2 linked regions of the Coturnix japonica genome follow. The protein of the gene in region 1 purifies or fractionates together with the protein of each later gene. This does not show direct contact. Links are inferred from orthologs where the notes say so. Each region holds a gene or a part of one and is shown on either strand. Other genes may lie near its edges. The genes, in order: MRPS27 and NOA1.

Region 1 (9,510 bases):
TTGTGGATGCCCTGTCCCTGGAGGTGTTCAAGGCCAGGTTGGATGGGGCCCTGGGCAATCTGGTCTAGTAAATGGAAAGGTTGGTGGCCCTTCCTGGCAAGGGGGTTGGAGATTCATGATCCCTGGGGTTCCTTCCAACCTGGGCCATTCTGCGATTCGGGCTTTTTGTGAGGTTAGCTCCAACTAAGGGGTGCTGGGATTCAGTCACTGTGAGGCTTCAAGCTGCTCCTGGACCAGCCGGTTTAGGTGGAATAAACCACATGGGATGTTATATAGGAAAAGCACTGAGGCTCTCAACAGCCTTTCTTGGTGTTCCTTCCTGAAGGGCTGCCTGGTGATAGCAGTCTCCCTTTTACTTGCACCACTACTAGGGTCTGCATTTTCCTTGGTGTACAAAGGCCAGGTCACTGATTAGCCGGCTTTACTCATGCTCTGTACTGAGAATCAGGTCTGCATAATAGTGGATAAGACAAGGAAGGAAGCATTAACATCTGAAACCCCCACCATTTTATTTTTGGGGCTGTGATTCAGCAGTTTTCTTTCTTAATCCAAGCCTGAAGAACCCAGCCTTATAGATCTATGATTTTTTCCACTTGCAAACATTAGACAAATTAAAGAACTCCTCAGACTTTTCTGGGCAATCTGCAAACATCCTTGTGCTGAAACAGGACTGCATCTGGTGTATCAGGTCATAGCACTAATAAGTATGGGCCATGTTGTACACTGTCCTGTCATACCTGCACAGTAGTGGTCACTTGAAAAAGATATAATCCTGTTTTTCCAAACTTGATTATTTTCTAAAATGTAATATTCTAGTTGAACAAATTTTGTCATCTAAACAAAAAGTTTTCTCTGTCATTACTATTTGGCAGAAAGAGTTTCTATTACTATCAGAACAATAGAAACACTGATTTAGTGTTGTCCTATACTATTTAACTGAACAAGCAACAAGTACGTGTGATTGCTTGAGAAACTCTCAAAATTAGAATTTATGTATTTCCAAGCACATAATTAGAATTTAATTGATTTTTTTATTTTTTTAATTTTTTTATTTTTGATCCTGTTTCAGTGTTGGTAGTTTATGAATTACATTTTAGTGATAAGAATGTTATTTCAAGTAAGCCTCATTTTTATTCTTTAGCATCATATGCTTGTGCCATAAAAATGAAACCACATAGGTACCAAGAGACATTATGCTTGTGGTAAGTTTCATGGATTCCAAGGTTACACAGTTATTGCTTCCAACTGATAAAGATTCACAGAAGGGTAACAGCTCTTTATATTTCTAATGGCTGAACTTTAAAATGCAGTCAGCCTGCATTCAGTAATTTAAATTATGACAATCATGTTATTCCCAGAACAGCAGCAGCATCCATATAGCAATTCCATAGTTTGTATAAATAATACATAAGGAAATAATTTAGTAAGTCCCATAGTGATACAAATGAGTTTTTTTGCTACTTCAGTTAGGAGATGGTGGTTTTCTTGATAACTCCAGGTGGAGAACATGAAAAAAAACTGGAGTCATAGCGATTAAAAGTATACCTTTAGCAGTATGTTGCATGCCACATTTCCATTTTTCCTATTAAATTATCTAGCCCGTGACAGGAATAAATCTTGTTGAATAAGTGATTTCCCTCTTACTTTCACGAAAGAGGAACCAGGATGATCTATTAAATACTGTATTGCTTGAATGTTTTGCAATAACCTCATATTTAGATGTATCTGTGATTGTGTATCACACTATCACGGGGGTTACTGTTTAACATTAGTATTTACAGCCAAGTGTCAGACCTAGAGGAGATGTTAGCCTAGTGCCTGACACATTCTCAAGTGCCAATCAGCAACTGACTCACAAGGAGTTGACAGAGACCTGCTGTTCTGCTTCAGGGACTTCAAAATGTCCCAACTTAGAAGTCCAAAATGAATTCTTCCAAGAAGGAGTGAGACTGCTTCTAGAATTTTTCATTTAGAGTAGTTATCTGGAACTACATGGCAACTTACAAAGTTGTTTGTAAAGTTGACGGTGGTATTAGTCAGATTGCAGTTTCAAACAGTTTATTCTAACAGTGACAAATGTGATTGCACAGGTTGATGTCCTGGAGACTGTTTTACGGTCTGTCCTTGAAGCAAAACCTGGTCCAGAGCCATCTGAAGAAGCCGAAGAAGTAGAGCAGAAGTCAGAATATACAGAATCGGAAGAAATGGAGCAGTCTAAAGTACCCGAGTACTACAGCCGATTCAAGGTAGGAAACTTCTGTTCATCTAAATATTCTAAGCTGTAGATCTCCTTATTACATACTAGAAGATAAGTAAATAACTTCACAAATTATGGCTATTAGACTGACACTCTTCCAGTGCACCAGGAGTCCACCTGGCATTTTTGAACCTGATGTCACCTTACATTTTCACTTACTCAAAAAGGAAGCAGCCTTCAAACAAATAAGTGCTCAAGGCCACTTGTCTTTTGTCTGTCTGCTGGGATTTTATCTTCACTTCTCATACATCAGAATGATAAATCCAAATGCTGTTTGCAAAAGTGGTATGTCATTAGAGATCCATTATCTGACTTTGAGTGGGTTCTTGCCTATTAAAATAAATTGTACTAGATATGAGACCATCCTAAACTTATTGTCCATTTATGTACATTAAGTACAAAAGTTGCATCCTGTACTTTCAGTCTGGATAATAAAGTATATCTTTCTTCCTTTTTATATTTAGCTTGATACAGTGTTAGAACAATATGAAATTCAAACATTACAGCCTAGCTATATGGTATTTTTTTATTATCATCTGGTAGCTATATAAAAAGCCCATTTTATTTTATCATCTCTGATTTCTGTTGTGGTAAAAATCAAGTACCCTGGGTTAAAACTAGTCTGGCTTATAGTTCCAGGTGTAATGCTCTCTTCTTAGACCATCAGTTTCCTCTATTGCTGTCATGACCTTGATCAGCTCTGAATACAGACAGTTGCTCTAAAGAAATTTCAGAAATTAGATGATTACCCTATGGTTTCACATTACCAACACTTGCTTTTCCCTTCTTCTGTTTATATTTATATAGACTATTTACCACAAGTCTTTGAATATTACACTTAAGCACGTAGGACTTTGTATTTGAAATGAATGAGTGGACAGCATGTGATAATTCATGCCTTGATGAATTACAGTGAGTTAGGTAAATACACATGTCCTTTGAAGGAAAGAATGAGGCATTTTTTTTGTGTCTGTCATTGTCCATCCATTGTCTACCCTTGAACAAAATTAATGATGAATGCTCAAAACAATGTCTAAATGTCAAACAGTGAGGAAGAGTGGTGCCAAGAGAATATTTTTCTCATTGCTTCAACCTTTCTTCAAGTTCCATAATTAACTCAATTTTAGGCATTCCGTGATGTAGTAGATGAGTGCCCTGATGTCAATCCAACAAACTACTTTGTTCATCCTTATCTCTAAGGTCTCTGAGAAGTGTAAATCTAAGTAAAAGCATAGCACTTACGCAAAGTATAGGTATGCAACAGTAAGTTATATATAAGAAGCTGTAATTTCCAATTGTCTTGATGAGAAAAATTAGCTTCCAAGACACAATGTCACTCTTGCTAAGTCTGGAAGAGTTATTATACTCCCCTCTCAAATCCATTCAGCCAGCAGCAGTTTTCCCAGCTGACCACCTGGGTGCTGGCACGACAGAGGTGCAAGTACCCTGAAAATACACATAGATACAAGGAAAGTTATGGCTGCTCTGTTGAAAAACTGGTGATGCTGGCATTTGTTGCCAGTGTCCTGGCACATGCTGTTTAATCCCAACACCAAATTGCACTTCTGCTGCTGAGAAGACTGTTGCACTTTGTCTAGTTATGTATTAGCAAGCATGTCTCAGTCTTTCTCCTGGTGCTCAAAATAGTTTTTGTCTCATGTTTGTCCAGTTCTTATCCAGTGGTACACCTTGACATGCAAGGAAAAACACCTGGACTTTGTCTAGTTCTTGCACCATGGTCTGCATGGTTTTCTACACTGTCTTGAACTTCATGTCTAGTACAAACTTCTGAAACAGCTGTGGCAGCCTGTCTAGGAAATCAGATATGTGAGAGGCAGAATGCCCCTCGCCCCCAGCAATCAGGACTTGAGAGCCTTTGGCTATTTCCAGATAAAGCCTTCAGAGCAGTAGTTTAGGATTTTGTGTCTGACACACTCATTCATGTTGTAATTACCTGTTCACAGATATTGTATTCTGAGGCATATTACTCAGTACAGTGTTCCTTAGGCAATTCCTTCCATCTGTGTCAGTGATCAGTGGGCAAGCATTTAATCATATAAATGCTGAGAGCACCCTCTTTAAAAGCAATGTACCTTCTCTATCTGCATCCAGAGCCCTGGAGACTGCTTATAAAAATCAATGAGTTTGCCATTTAAGAATGTACCCTTCTGGTACCTGCAGGATATAGCTACTTTCCTAAATGAGTTTCACTAATGTATTACAGCAGAGCAGAGAAGATTCCAGAGTTCTGTAGTACCAATAATGGGTTAGGAGAGGGGCCCAGCTAGTTTCCAGTCCATTGCATTTCTTCTATTTCAATTTCATACTGCTTAGTTTTAGCATACAAACTCTTTTTAGCACATCCTTAGTAGTGGGTAGTAGGGAGACTCTGTATCAGTTATCAGGAATTGTGTTCCTTTCCCAAACTCAAACCATGCTGTTTTCGTATTTATTCTGGATGTACGGTAAATTCACTCATATCTCAAACAGAAGAGAAATAAATAAACAGATGTTACTAATTTTGGTTTTAATTTGGTAATGTCAGGTTGTTTTTGTTTATAAACTTTGTCATAAAATTAAAGGCAACAGAGCCAAATTCCCAAGCACCTCAGACCTGCACACATACTGTTAAAAGAGCTTTTTATCTGCTGTTGGTCATGTTCAAACTTTCCTGGGCCTGACAGAACAGCAAACCTGTTGTAGTTATGTTGGCTGAGGCAGGGAGAGGTAAAAAGGTATCCGAAGAGGCACTCCAATTTCCCTTTTCAAAAGAAGGCATAACCTTGAGGCTAGAGTTGAGCTGCAGCGCTTCTGCAGATTAATGCAGTGAGTCTGGGTAAGAGCAGCGCTGTGGGCCAGCTGCATAGTGATAGTGTGCAAGCTCCCAGTGATAACTGGGAGTGGAAAACTGAATGTCATCATGCCCTCGGAGTCACCATTTTGTGTGATGATTAATTATCCCATCTTCTTTCAGTTATCTTTCAGTGCAAATCAGTGGGGTTTATTCAAAGAACACATGAAAGAAGTACGTGGGTGTACCTACCTTTAGGGTACCTTCTTTCTTTAAACATTTCAGCAAGTGCCTGTTTCAGTAAAACATTTTATTTAAAAGAACAATCAGGAAAACATGTTCCTATCTAATGAATGAGCAAGGGTTAAGGAATGTGCCAGTGCCATGTTGTCTTCCTCCCCCAGGAAACTCTTTCCTGGCTGTCTGTGTAGCTGCACTTTTAAGGCAATTAATCAGCTTGTTAGAGAGCCATTGGGCCAAATATTCCATAAAGCCAGAAGCAGTATCACTCGATGACTCATTGTCTTAAGTGAATTAATATGTTTATGCTGCATGAGCTCTAAGTAAGTAAAGCACAGAAAGAAGTATTGCAGTTTCTTTGTGAAGCTATATTTTTTTGTTACATTGTAAAATATACCTGAATAAATATTACTTGCTTTAGGTCTATTGCATTTAGTGTGAGTAAACACAGTCAAACCTCAGATCACAGTAACTGTTGGCAAAAAAAAGATGGAAGCTACTTAGCATGCTACTAGTCAGCAAGCATTTAAAGTGATTTGCATCTGTGGAGAGTGATGCTAATGCAGGCAGTGGGGAGCACATCAGTCAGTCAGCTTTGAGTTAAGACACAAAAAAAGGTGCTTAAATTGTCTTTTCACAATTGACCGGTCAGCTGATCTTTGTTTACAGCAGGTGACTACACTTGGAAAAATAAGGAGAATTTCAGTAAGTTAGGGCTCTTTCTTGTTTCAGTTTTATTGCTCAGAAAAACTTTCTCTGGAGGTTAGCATTTCAAGGGGAAGCAGTAATACCTGCTATCACAGTCAAAATCCTTAGCTAGGACAGAATGGCCAGCCTGGATCAACACAGCTAGTCATTAGATTCAATCATCTATGAATTGGTTGTTACAGGGAAGTAAGCTTTGTCACTGATTATTTTGTGACTGATTGTCTCTCTCCTTCTCTGTCCCCATCAAATCCTTCATTCTGTGGCAGGATCTGTACTCTAAGCTGCATTCACTTGGCAAGGTTGAATCTGAAAGCCTGTTAACCCTGACCACCCAGCTCGTCAAGGAAAAGCTGCCAGCGTGTGAAGTGGAGGACATCGCAAAGTATGAGCAGAAGCTAAAGGAGTGGGAGCAAGAACAAGCACTTCTCATTGAGAGAGAAAGAGAAATGAGAGAAAAAGCTAAGCAGGAACTGGAAGCTAGGAAGCTAGCTAAGGCATCTGCTTAATACTGGAATTCAGTCTGCCATAATGGTATGCATTCCTCTGTGTGTGAACTGTTCACTATTAATATTTCACTTAATTACTGCTGCAAATATGACTGTATGTGACTACTACATGCAAATAAATCTATTTCCATTTTCCTGCTTCCTGAAGCAAAAGCACTTGTGGTTTAGAAATTATCGTGTTTATGATATATTTTCCTCTGGTTGGCAGCCAGATGGGGGGGGTGGTATGGAGATAATACAAAGAAACAAAGGCATTGCCTGTGGTGAAAGTTGTAGAGGGTGGAAGAAACAAAAGAAGAGGGAGAAATTTCATACACAAGTCGTTTCAGTGTGAGTTTCTCACAGAAAAGAATGCCTGGGTCACTCTGAACTTAGCCACTAAGAGGATTAACGTATGTTGACTGCTTTCTTTTCCTGCCCACTTGGAAAATTTGGGCTAGTCTACACAGAACTGTAAGCCTACTTTAGACTGTTTTTGAACCAGGGAGTTAGCACTTGCAAAGGCACTTAGATGTGCCTATGAAAATGCTTCCCTGTAAGAAACTGAGAAATTTCCAAATTCACTAACTGCTCCACTTTTCAGGTCAATAGAGAAATAGGCACAATCACCTCAGCAAAGGGGCCTCGTTCTGCACTGCATTTCCTTTTATATTCTGGGCACTGTTTCATGGTTCTATTTTGACCTAATCCCATTTTTGCCTTAGCTGCATACATAATCCCATAGCCTATTATATGGATTGTGAAAATGATTTAGCTATTCATACAGAGCAAAAGAAAATGTCAAGAGAGAGAAGGTGGGTTCTTACATTCCCTGTTGCCACAGAAGCTGATCAAGAGACAATTTTCTGCAGCTTCTTGCAGGGCAAGCTCCTTAAACAGAGGGAGACCCTGACAACAGCCTTTCTGTATGGCACCTTGTTGTGTTAACAGTGATGCCTCAGTATGCTCTTCCACAGTATCTGGGAAGTATTTCCAGTTTTATCATGCACCTGTCTAGCCTTAAAGCTCTAAATCTCACATCACACACTGACTAAATCCTTTGAGAATAGAACATGCTGCAGTTCTCTGAACTTATTTGTAGTTAGGCATCTTACTGGCATTCACCAAATGCTTTGCCTGTTCCCTGTGAGTACACTCACAACTTGATTGCTTTCACATCTAAGAACATGACAGTAGGGTCCTTTGCCCTTTAGGTCAGCAATTCTGTGGTCTCTCCTGTAGTGCTCTCCAGGTGAAAGGTTATTTTTGTGTTTGGGCATGACTAATACAGCGGTAGCCTTTACAGGCAATTTTTATCAATTCTTCTGAAGCTTTTTTTTTTTCCTCTTAGGTCCTCCTGATGCTTTCTAGCCTTAAGGAAGAGTGGGAGGCCAAACACACTTCTAAGAACAATTTGGTTAAAACTGGTGGCTACTGAAGTGTCCTTCCTGTGCCTGTGTTCAGTTTTTCAGCACGGGAACATGGGTTGTACTTCCAAAGGTTCACAATTGATCTTGTACCATCCAGTTTTGTTCTTGACTTCTTGATACAAGAGCCAACTCTTCCTCCACTACATTTTTAAGGCATGGAGGGTCTGCTGTGTGGCCCCAGCCATCCCAGCTGTTGTTCCCATGCCTATGAGATACTATCTGGGTAGGCCACAGTGGACACTGCCATGCTTCTAGCCGCTTGCTGGCATCTCTTCCTTGGCAGCATGCAGAGCCTGTTTCTGGCCCCATCTCTGTGCTCCTCCCCTGCTGGGTGGACATGCCAGGCTGCTAATGCTCATCAGGCTCCAGCAGGCAGCCAGCTGCCACATCCCTGCTATCTCACAGAGCATGCATCACTTCCCACACAGCTAAGCCCCCTTACCATTTATTTAGATTTAACTGCTATAGCAACAGAAAAAAATCTTCCTCTAAGCACTGACCAACCTGTTAATATTGCAGGCTCCCTCCTTTCATTTTCACTTGTAAGCACTGGGTTTGAATGCTTTTGGCCCAGACTGTAGCCAGAACTCTTGACTAGATACAGCCTTTTATCCAGGCGTGAGCTTTAAATAAACTGTGGAGAACAAGTGTTGTGTGATGTTGTCCTCCAGGGGAGATTTTCCTTACCATGGATAAAACATACTCTGCATTGGACTCAAATCTGTTCCCACCTGCCCCCGGGAGAACAGAGAAGAGAGTTTCCTTACAAAGTGCTTTGCAGGCATCAGAGTAGACTGTGCCAGGCAAGAGGCACCAAACCCGGTACTCGTGGCAATGGGTTTCAATCAGTTGTAGCTTAGGGAGCAAGAAATTCAGGCAAGTCTTGTCATGTATTTCCACTCAGCATCACCCTGAGCAAGAAACCTCTTCTGATGCTTCCACCAGCCCCTCACCCAGACTCCTGTTCCCTATCTGGCATGACACTGGTATGTATTTCTTCACAGTGCATTGGTCTTCCATCTTCTCTGCTCCCCCTCCACAAGTCTTACCACTATCTCAGTAGCAAAAAGTTTCTTCCATACTAGTGTCTTCTCGATGACCTAATTTCCCACAGACCTTCCTGTACATTCCTAAATTTGCCAGCAGGCCCTCTTGTCCACTTTCTCTGCTGCACAGCCTCCCCTCTAATCTCCCTATTGATCCTCCTGTACATCCAGCCCCATCCATTTCCTTCCTGCTTGCCCTGTCTCCACACCCTGGCTGTCTCAGGCAGTTGGGCACCCACTGGACCCTCAGAGCTTCAGGCACTGCTCACAATGAGGAGGTTGGGAGCCCCCGTTTACAGGTGCAGTGCACACATACCTGCCCTATGCCTTTAATGGTATTCGCAGTCCCTCCTCTAAATGTAACATGGTGGCCTTTGATGAGTATTTCCTAAAGATATCATACCAGCGGGGCTTAGTAAAAATTGCTTGATTAATAAGCAATTTTGAATTGAATTTCCCATCTTCAAACAGCACTTCATGTGCTGCTTTGTCAGCTCTTGATTATAGTGTTTGTTTGTTTGTTGCTTAACCCAGTTACTATTCTGCATTTGCA
Region 2 (9,611 bases), on another chromosome or scaffold:
TGTGGGATTTTTGTTGTCTTGCAAGGACAAGACCAATGCTCTGGATGGGTTACCAGGCAGCTGGGACCACCTCCAGAGGTGTGTGCACCATGAGTGCAGGCACAGATACCTGCAGCCTTCAACAGGAAATCAGAGAGTGAAACTGCAGAGAGCCACTTTGAAGTGGAGATGTGAGGAGCACATGTTTTCATTGTACCATCTGCTTGGGTGCATAGGAAGCAGGTATTTGAAACTCGTGGTCCATTTAGGCTCACAGCTCAGTGCAGTGCTCTACATAATTGCACCCAGCCTGTGCACACTGAGCCATGAAGGTCAGACCTTCCCAGGAGGCTCAACCTTCCCAGTCCTGTCTTTCCACCTCAATAGAGGAGCCAAAAGCAAACGTGGTTTGAGATTAAATGAGCTCTTCTCTACAGATGTTAAAAAATGTCTTGCCTTTCAGGCTGTCTGGCAGAAGTATCAAATAGACACCAACTTTGAGAAGCACTTCAGAGCAGGTCCTCTGCTCCTGTTGTAATTCAGCCCTCAGAACTCATAAAAGGTATTTCTGTGTTTTCATCAAGGCACTAATTGCTTCCACATTAAGGTTGCTGAGGTTTGACATCTGTCCGGAGCACATATTTTTGTTCCTAGCTGTGGCTGTTGCTAGCTGCCTGCTCTTATGGCCTGAGGAGTGGAGTCAGTAGATACACAATAAGCTTTGCAAAAGCACTTAAAACACCAACGCAACTCCAGCCCTTGTGCTGGCCCAGCTGCCCCACTTGCACGTCTTGGAGAACACTAAAGGACACATCATGGGAGGGCACGCATGTCCTTCCCATCCCATTTCAGGCAGAAGGCCTTTTCTCCTGGATACAATTCCAGCACTGGCTACTGGTCTTTGTGAAAAAGGCTGTTTCCATAAATCAGGGGACCTGCTACACAGAACAAAGCTCACCTGCAGTTTTTTATGGCCAACTCCTGGGCTGGGGCCCAGTGCTGTCACAGAGCAAGGCCTTCCAGTTACTTTCTGCATCTGGTATTGTTTGCCTTTTATATTGTGTCTTTTCCAGACTTACAGCATTAGAGGAATGCTGTAGGAGATGCCTGTTTTTACTTGTCAAGCTTGTTTGTACAGGCCATGTCTAGACCCTCCTTTTTGATGCCCAGTTTTGCTGGTACAGTTGTGACCATTTCTATGTCCTCTTCTCCAGGTCTGGTGAGTATAACCCTCACTAAAGACAAGATGCTGGTAGAAGCAGGCTTCTACTGTCTTTTCCCATAACGCTTAATGGAAATACTGTGGCCAGCCTTGCTGGTGATTTCTAAAGAAGACAAAGGAGTCTTGAAAAGCTTTGTTTAATTGCACATCCTCAGTTTTAGAAACTTTTACACAAGCAAAAGGAACCAAATCAAAGCAGACAGTTATCAGGCACCTGAGCAAATCTGCTTTTCTTTAATTCTTTTTTCCTGTGTCCAGAAGTAGGGCAATGCATCAGATACTGAGGGGGCCTGATTTTTGGTCAATGACGTTTAATTACCACAAGCTCCTGGGAGTGTCATGCCCACACCAGAGAATTCCCTGCTCCTCTTCCCCACCCTCCACCTCCTGCTTTAGAAACAACATAAAGGCTCCAAGAACCAGGTGATGGTTTCTGACCTGTGAGAGCACGTCTGCTAGAAAATACCTACTCTCTGAGCAGCAAAGTCAGCAAAGGGCAGGCAGATGAGCTTCCATGCTGTATTTCAAGAGGAAAATGATAATGAGGGTTGCTCCCTGACACTGCCTGATCCCAGGGAAAAAAAACATTTCACCTCAGAGAACAAGGTACGAGCCATCCAGCTCACCTGAACTAGCTGCAGCTCAGTAGTTGTGTTAGACTTGTGGTGCCCTACATCAGATTTACCTCACATGGACCTCCCTTGAAACCGTGCCTGTCTGCCTTTTAGATGAGTCTAAGCTCTTCTGAACGTCAACAGAAGAATCTGTTCTGAAGTTCTGAATCCTATCTCACTCAGACGATGGTGAGTGCTATCTGTTCCGCACAGCTTTCAGGTTTTCTACGAGGGAAGGAGGCTTTTTGGTTCTGTAGGCAGCAGTACCTGGGATCCGGGCCCCTCTGATGCTACTGATATATGGTAAAAGGGGAGGCTCCCGTACCACCACTGTGGTGCCCCTGGGTGTATAGGCTCGGAGCAACAGTTCCTCTTCTGCATGAGCTGTCACCGCCACCCAGCCTGCAGAGCAAAGAAAGAAACAGTCAGTAGGAAGAGTTGCTCATATGAAAACAAGGGTTCTCACACAAAGAAACATTAAATTACCTGCAGAGGAAAGTTTGATATCTGCGACTGCCTCAGCAGTACCAGTTCCTTTCAGTGTAATGTCCTGAGGGACAAGTGGGGGGAACTCTTTCATTCGCTCTTTCCCACCCATTGGAACCTAATGTCAAAACAATAAAAGATTTAACAGCTAAGAGATGCTTCAGTACTCTTACGTTAAACTGAAGAGCAATGCACAAGCAGGAACAGAGAAATTAAACTTCTATTATCTAAGTAAGAGCTAGTTTGAATATCCTTACAGAAGCTACTTCGGACTTGCAAAGAGCAGAACTGGGATCACATCCAGAACAACCCAGCCCAATGAAGCCCACAGCTCAGGAGTGAGCAAAGATGGAGCATCTGCTACATAGGCCAGCTGTTGGCCCAAGCCAGCCTCCTTACTGTGGGTTACAGCACTTGTATGTATGCTCAATGTGTGCAAGGCTGCAGCCAAGACAAGGACAGCTTGCACATACTTCTCTTACCTTAAAGAACTCCTGCCCAGCATGCTTCTCATACATGGCATCTGCACTGCTCAAGGTAGCAACGTGGACTGGCAACATCCTAGAAGCCACAACAGAAAACCAGGCAGGTTTTTCTCCCTGAAACAAAACAAAGCATGTGTTGTTCATGCTAACAGAAAAGTAACCCCTAACTGCTCTCTCTTGCTTCATTTCCTTGCTGTATGTTGAAATCTTGTCTTTTACTGGCGTCCTTGCCTCTGCATGTCATGGGAAGCCCTTCAAGGCGAAGGTGTTTATTGGCATTTAATAGCACTGATGGTTTTATAATACAAAATACTGCACACTGATAACAAGTATCACCACTCTCCATCCCAAGGCATTTTTACTTTATGTGGTGCTTTATTAACAAACTTATCTTGAAAGCTGCAGTGAAAGGAGGTGGAGAAGCTACCTGGACTATCTTTTATTGTTTGGTCCTATACCAGAAGATGAAGCTGCTGCAATCCTGTTTTTTCCTACCTGTAAGTAGTCTACGCGTCCTAAAGCTGCTAAAAACAAGACCATTCCTGGCTTGAGAATGAAGGTCCGTGGAATGATGGCTTGTGTTGGCAAAACCTGCTTTACTTCTTTCTCTGTCAGGAGATTCAAAACCTGAAACATAAATTGTGCAGTCAGGACACACTGTTTTCTGTGATTATTCAACTTCAGAAGAAGGAAGATCACGCTCTGTCTCCAGTAAGAGCTCTAAGCCCCTGGCTACCTTCACATCAGACACTAAGTAGTTATTAGAGGGCAAACTAACACAAAGTGGGTTGGAGATGATCTGGCAGGCATCTACTAGGAAAGTTCTGACACCACTGCTGGTTTTCTATCTCCTAGTACCTTTTAATTTCTCCCAAAAGATGACCTGTGGCTCCACAAAGATATCAGTGTGATGGAAAAAACCCACAATATGACATTTTAGGACATATGCACTATATAAGCACCGGCTTCAGCATCATTGCTCTACTGAAACACTGAAGTAGGCTGTTAACTGTTATTAGCTATTAACACTGCAGATCCTTCTGGCTTCATGAGAATGCTTCGGGTCTTTCCCAAAGCTTTGGTTTGGTCACACAATACTAGTTTATCCTCCTAAGCTCCACCTTTTTCAGTAGGGTGGCAGAGTTAAAGAAGCATAGATTTCTCTGGGTGATACTGATATGAAATTGTTTTAACAGTATTGTACTTCATTAGAAAGTGGGTTGACACACAGTTCCTTCACAAAGATCACAGCATGCACCATTCAGAAACACAACAGCAGAAACACGATGGACTTTGACCTCCTGAAGCACAATGCCACAGAGTACCTACACAGTTTTCCTTTACAATCCCTGGAGTATCAAAACACCAGCGAGCATCCTTCACTTCATTGTATGTGAACTCTTGTCTTTCCTCATTCTTCTTAGGGATATGGCATGGATCTTCATCTATGCTGTACGACAGCATGTCAGGGTCAAAATCAATCACAGAGCTCTCCCGACGTTTAAATGTTCTTCCAACTCTTCCTGGATTGAAATGAAAGGTTTCCTGTTCATTCATTTATTAACCTGCATTTCCTCCAGTTGGACACCTCTCCCTTCCCTTGATTAATAGGGATGCACAACTATGATAGAAATGTGATAAAAATGTCACGTGCATGTTTAAAAGCCAAGATGCCAACAGATCCCTTCTGTAATTCCTGCTTAGCACTCCTTAAGCCCCAAAACCTCAGCAAGGACCATATACAGACAGCATATTTCTTACTGAGTTCTTACAGAATGGGTAGAAATTGCCTGCCAAAACCAGATGTATTCATCAGAAAATTAAGAGGTTAACAATCCTTTGTGTAATGCAGCATTTCCATTGGGACGTTCCATCACGTTTTACACAGACAATACTCACCCACTAAGTAACCTTGCTTTTTAAGGCGATTCAGGTGCTTTTTTTCCTCATCGCTTAGCTGATCTTCTGTTTTTTGTGCCTCTTCTTTCAGCCTCTCCTGCCTCCTGAATATCCTGTCGCACGTAGGGTTGATAATTGGAAATTTCAACAAGTTCAGTGTTGTTCCTGGAAGAAGAAGGAGGAGAAAGCAAAAAGGGTGACACATCCAGACCTCTGGGATACCTGGATATCCAGACTCATACTTAAGCTCTGAGGTACATGAATAAAAAAGTACTTGGAGCCATCTAACAAAGCTGGAGGTGGAACTAAGCATCAACACCTGCTCTGCTTAAGTCTCCCTCCTAGGCAGAGTGGCTGGAGTGTGTTACCATCCACTTGGTACCTGCTCTCTTGTTGAAAGGCTTCTCAGACACTCTCACTAATTAAAATCATGCTGATGCTGGTACAGTCGTGGGTCATCTGAGCTGATTTTAGGGAGGTCGATCAGACACTTTAGCAGCAAAGCCTTGTGACCTTAGCACCCGAGTGCGATATGGGGATGCTGGTAGTGCCCCTCACCTGGCCAGGATGAGACGGTGGCCCTACTAACCACGTCGGGAGCTCGTGACTTGCAGTAGTCGGATTGCAGCAGGGCATTGAAGAGCGTCGACTTGCCCGAGTTGGTGGCCCCCAGCAGGTAGACATCACCGGCGCACTTCCAGGAGCGCTGCAGCCGGCTGACCAGCCCCTCCATCCCGAAGCCCGTTTTGGCACTCACCAGCCGTACATCCACTAATTGCTCCCGGGCGATGCCGGCCTGCAGACAGGCGGCCGTCACTCTCTGCCGCAGCCGCCCCAGGTGCCCGGGGGAGTCGGCCGGCAGCAGATCCACCTTGTTGCCCACCACCAGCAGCCCCGCTGCGGGCACGTCGGGGCTGAGCAGCGCGGGCAGCTGCGGTAACACGGGGTCGGGCAGCTCCAACACATCCAGCGTGTAGAGCAGCAGCGGGCCCCTGCCGTGCCGCGGCGGGCTGCGGAGCGCGTCGCTCAGCACGGCGCGGTGCTGCTCGGCCGGCAGCTCCAGCCGCACTAAGCGGCCGCCGTGCGCCATCACCCAGCACCGCTGGCACACGGCATCGCGCAGCCCGGCCGCTCCGCCCGGCCCCGAGCACAGGCTGCGGTACTTGTCGGCCGGCACGAAGCCCGGCGCCGCGGTATCGCGGCACTGCAGCTCGGCCCCGCAGCCCGAGCAGCCCACTCCGCTCGGCGGCACGGACGGGTCGGCCTCCCCCAGCAGCCGCTCCCTGCCCGCCCGCCTCCGCGCGGCAGCTCTGCCCGTCGGCGAAGCGGCGGGTGGTGCCGGTGGTGGTGGCAGTGGTGTTGGTGGTGATGGTGGCTCTGGCTCCGGCTCATACTCGAGGAATACGAAGCGCTCCTCCTCGCCGCCCAACGCCTTCCATCGCCTCGCCGCCCATGGCCGTGCTGGCCGCAGCCGGCCCAGCAGCGCCCGGCCCAGCTGCAGCATGACGGGCAGCGTGAGCAGCCCGCAGGAAGGGGCAGGGCGAGGCTCACCCCGCGCATGTGCGCTGCTCCCCGTTCCCGCCGCCCTCCTTCCTGTGGCCGCCGCTCGGCGGGCGCTCGGTGCCGGATTCTCGGCTTCTTTCTCTCCCGTCCCGGCCGGTCGCGGCTCCCTCCTCGCTGCCGCCATGTACGACGCGGATGAAGGTGAGTGAGGCCGCGCCGGCCGCCTCCCGCCGGGCCGCTCCCCCGCTTCTATGGGCGGCCCCGTAGTGGCGGCCTTGGCCTGACCCGCTCCCTCTTCCCCTGTAGATATGCAATATGATGAGGACGACGACGAGATCACCCCCGACCTGTGGCAGGAGGCGTGCTGGATCGTCATCAGGTGATGCTCTCGTTGTGCTGCTGCTGGTGGGACGGGTGCACGGAGGCCTCGGGCTTTGCGACTAGGCCGGGCCGCGTGGTTCGGCTTTTAGGGAGCGGAGCTGCGCTCAGCTGGGCTGTGGGGCCCTTGTTTGGTTTGGCAGGGCTTACAGACATAGGGCAGCTGGTTGATGAACCTCGTGAGGTCCAGCAAAAACAAGGTACAAGGTCTTGCACCTGGGTTGTGGCAACACCCGCTACCAGTACCAGCTGGGAGCAGGTGGATGGCAAGATGGACTTGAGACAGCAGTGTGCCTTGGCAGCCGAGAAAGCCAGCTGTACATAAGTACTATTACAGTAAGAGCGATGAGGCACCAAAACAAGTTGCCTAGGGAAGTGGTGGAAGTCCTGTCCCTGAAGTCATTCAAGGGGCTCTGAGCACCATAGGTGTCCTTGTTTCTTTTAGGAGAGTTGGACTGTCTGACCTTTAAGGGTCCCTTCCAACTCAAACGTTTATGTGTTTCTACTGCACTGGCACAGGCTGCTCAGGGAGGTGGTGTAGTCAGTCACTGGAGATGTGGTGCTGAGGGACACGATTGGTGGGGATGGGTAGGAGGTTGGACTAGTTTTCCCAGCAGAACACCAACAGCCAGGCCCTGTGGCTCCTCATGCTGTTAAGAAGCGCACATTGTAAGCAAAAAGTGTTTTTCTTTTGAACAGGAGCCTTTCCCTATGTGCAGTGGGGATAGAGAACAGCAAAGCCAAGGTAGCGTGAGATCTCCAGGTGCCTTCAGGGCTGTGTGGCACACAGCCCATGTCTTCAGGTCATCCTGTTAACAATGAGAGTGCAGGGCTTGGAATGTTGGCTTTGGTTTCATGACTGGGTTGTGGTGTTGGGTTATGTCTGGGCCACACAAAAGCTAGAGGAATTTAAGATAGAGTGCGTACACGGCTCAGCCAGGAGGTGGCAGCAGGTCTGTCACTTTGCAGTCTGCCTTCAAACACCGATGAGAGTTGAGTTTAACATTTCTGAGCATCTGTGTACACAACCCGTGTCTCAGGCAAAAAGTATTTTCTACTGTATTTCAGAGCTTTTCAAGATTTTGTAATGAATTTACCTTAAGCTTGCTGACAAAATACATCACTTAAATTAAGTTATCTTGTTAATGTGTTTTGTTTTGTTTTTCCTTTAGCTCCTATTTTGATGAAAAAGGTTTAGTCAGGCAACAGCTGGATTCTTTTGATGAGTTTATTCAGATGTCTGTGCAGAGAATTGTTGAAGATGCTCCACCGATTGATTTACAGGCAGAAGCCCAGCATGCCACAGGAGAAGTGGAAGAACCGGTAAGTGGAGGCAAAGGGGTTTCATAAGCAAAATGAGTAGGTGGTACCTTGAGTAGGTGGGTTTCATTCGGTCTGTGTCTGGAGAGACTGAAGTACATCTGAGTTGGGACACAGCCGGGAGGATGGAAGTGTAAACTGCTTGGATTCTATAAGGCAACTGTGCAACTGCTGAGGATGGGAGCAGGCCTCATCGACAGGGATTTAGTGGAGCAAGCAAGCTAGCCATAATAAAACCGTGCTTTGCTGGGATTTTTGGTTCTTGGTAGCTTTACTATGGCAGAAAAGGCTTAAGACTAAAAAGGCTTTTGTTAGGTCTGGGTTTTCTAGTAGTGCCCTTACTTATCATCTTCCATTGGTACCATGTTCCACATTATCTAAGGTCTTTGTGAGGACTTATGAAGTGTGTGAGGGTACAGTACATGTTCTGCATTGGTTGTGGTGCTTCTGCTGTTCACTGTGGTGTCTCCCATATGGTGCGGTCCTGTGTATGTCAACAGCGATGATCCAGTTACTCAAGTTTCTGCTTCCCTTTTGAGCTTTAAGGGAACTTTAGGAATTCTGAGAGTCAAATCTGTTATGTTTTGACTGTTCCTTTCCATTTTTTGTGCGTGCATGCATTGTTTAGAGAGAGTAACAGATTTCTTTTAGTTCCTGAGTTTGTCATAGGGCTCATTCTTGGGTAGATGAACACTCATAAATGTTTGTAATTCCTCTTAATATTTCCTCTGTTGCTCTGTGTATATTATATCTATATTCCCTAGCTGTGCAGTTCTGCAGATGCTGTATGAGCTGTATGCAGTTAAGTGTGGATCTCCAGCATATATGTGTTTAACTTTGCCCAAGACATAGTATTTGACTTGAGGGTAGGTTTCTTGCTCTTATTTATCCAATTGAAGTTTTAAGAGTATGGCCTAGATATGAGAAAAAGAAAACTTGGTTTTTCCTTCAGTTTTACTTGTTGGCAATCTCTTGTCTAATGGGAGAATGCAGGATTTAATTAAGGAGGCTGAGTATGATTGGACTAATCCGAGGTGACTTGTTTCTCCCTCCTTCCATGTTCAGCTTTGCATTTTGAGGGCAGCTAGGACAGTATGTTTTATAGCACACTAAAGTGTTTTTACAGCCGTGCTGAGAGATGGGAATTACAGTAAATGTGTGTTCTACGTGCTTACATGAGAACCTGTGAAAGTTATTTCACGCAGCTACTGCTGCAAATGAAGGAGAAAGGTGTTTCTTTGGGTGAGAATTGAGAGCTAGCTGTGCTAGAGCTTTGGTGTTGTACTACAGTAGTCCTAATGGCTCGGATACAGTTAGATAACTGCATGGAGCTCAAGTTTTGCTTTAGTTATAGATATTCACAGCTGGCTTCTAGATGGTGGGGTGGCAGCACTACTGTTCTTTGTTTGGGTTAGTTTCTGTTCTGCAAGCAGTCACAGTGTGAAACAGGAACTCAAAAGAAAGGCTTTCAAGGCAGTGGGTCTTTCAACTTGTTCATGTGCCGGTCGAGTGACTGGCTTATGTTTCTATACCCTTGGATTTTAGTTGGTGAAGGAATGCTTTGGGGACAGCAGCTCTAAACTCTCATTGCAGTGGGAATACGGACTCGCACCTTTTTAAGGTGTCAGTTGTCTCATTGTTTGTGTTGGAGTAAATTTGCCTCTTTATCTTATGCTCAATCAGTTTTATCTAAAGCTATGTCAGCAATAAATATATATATACTGG

The links.
Region 2: the proteins of MRPS27 (region 1) and NOA1 purify together in Homo sapiens (co-immunoprecipitation; 3 studies listed by BioGRID and IntAct, counting the BioPlex papers as one, with this or other methods). This does not show direct contact. The link is inferred for Coturnix japonica from reciprocal best matches to the Homo sapiens genes MRPS27 and NOA1.

The regions. Positions count from the first base shown.
Region 1 is NC_029547.1:23,078,047-23,087,556, forward strand, and holds the end of MRPS27 (28S ribosomal protein S27, mitochondrial), read left to right. Parts: intron 1-2,090; coding exon 2,091-2,246; intron 2,247-6,262; coding exon 6,263-6,502; 3' UTR 6,503-6,527; exon of another isoform or gene 6,528-6,658; intron 6,659-7,832; 3' UTR 7,833-8,558; downstream 8,559-9,510. UniProt on the Homo sapiens protein: RNA-binding component of the mitochondrial small ribosomal subunit (mt-SSU) that plays a role in mitochondrial protein synthesis. Stimulates mitochondrial mRNA translation of subunit components of the mitochondrial electron transport chain.
Region 2 is NC_029519.1:43,876,464-43,886,074, reverse strand, and holds NOA1 (nitric oxide-associated protein 1), read right to left. Parts: upstream 6,373-9,611; coding exon 5,244-6,372; intron 4,851-5,243; coding exon 4,686-4,850; intron 4,310-4,685; coding exon 4,116-4,309; intron 3,414-4,115; coding exon 3,282-3,413; intron 2,901-3,281; coding exon 2,784-2,900; intron 2,420-2,783; coding exon 2,302-2,419; intron 2,218-2,301; coding exon 2,012-2,217; downstream 1-2,011. Other genes in the region: POLR2B (DNA-directed RNA polymerase II subunit RPB2), read left to right, coding at 6,371-6,389, 6,495-6,567, 7,739-7,889. UniProt on the Homo sapiens protein: Involved in regulation of mitochondrial protein translation and respiration. Plays a role in mitochondria-mediated cell death. May act as a scaffolding protein or stabilizer of respiratory chain supercomplexes. Binds GTP.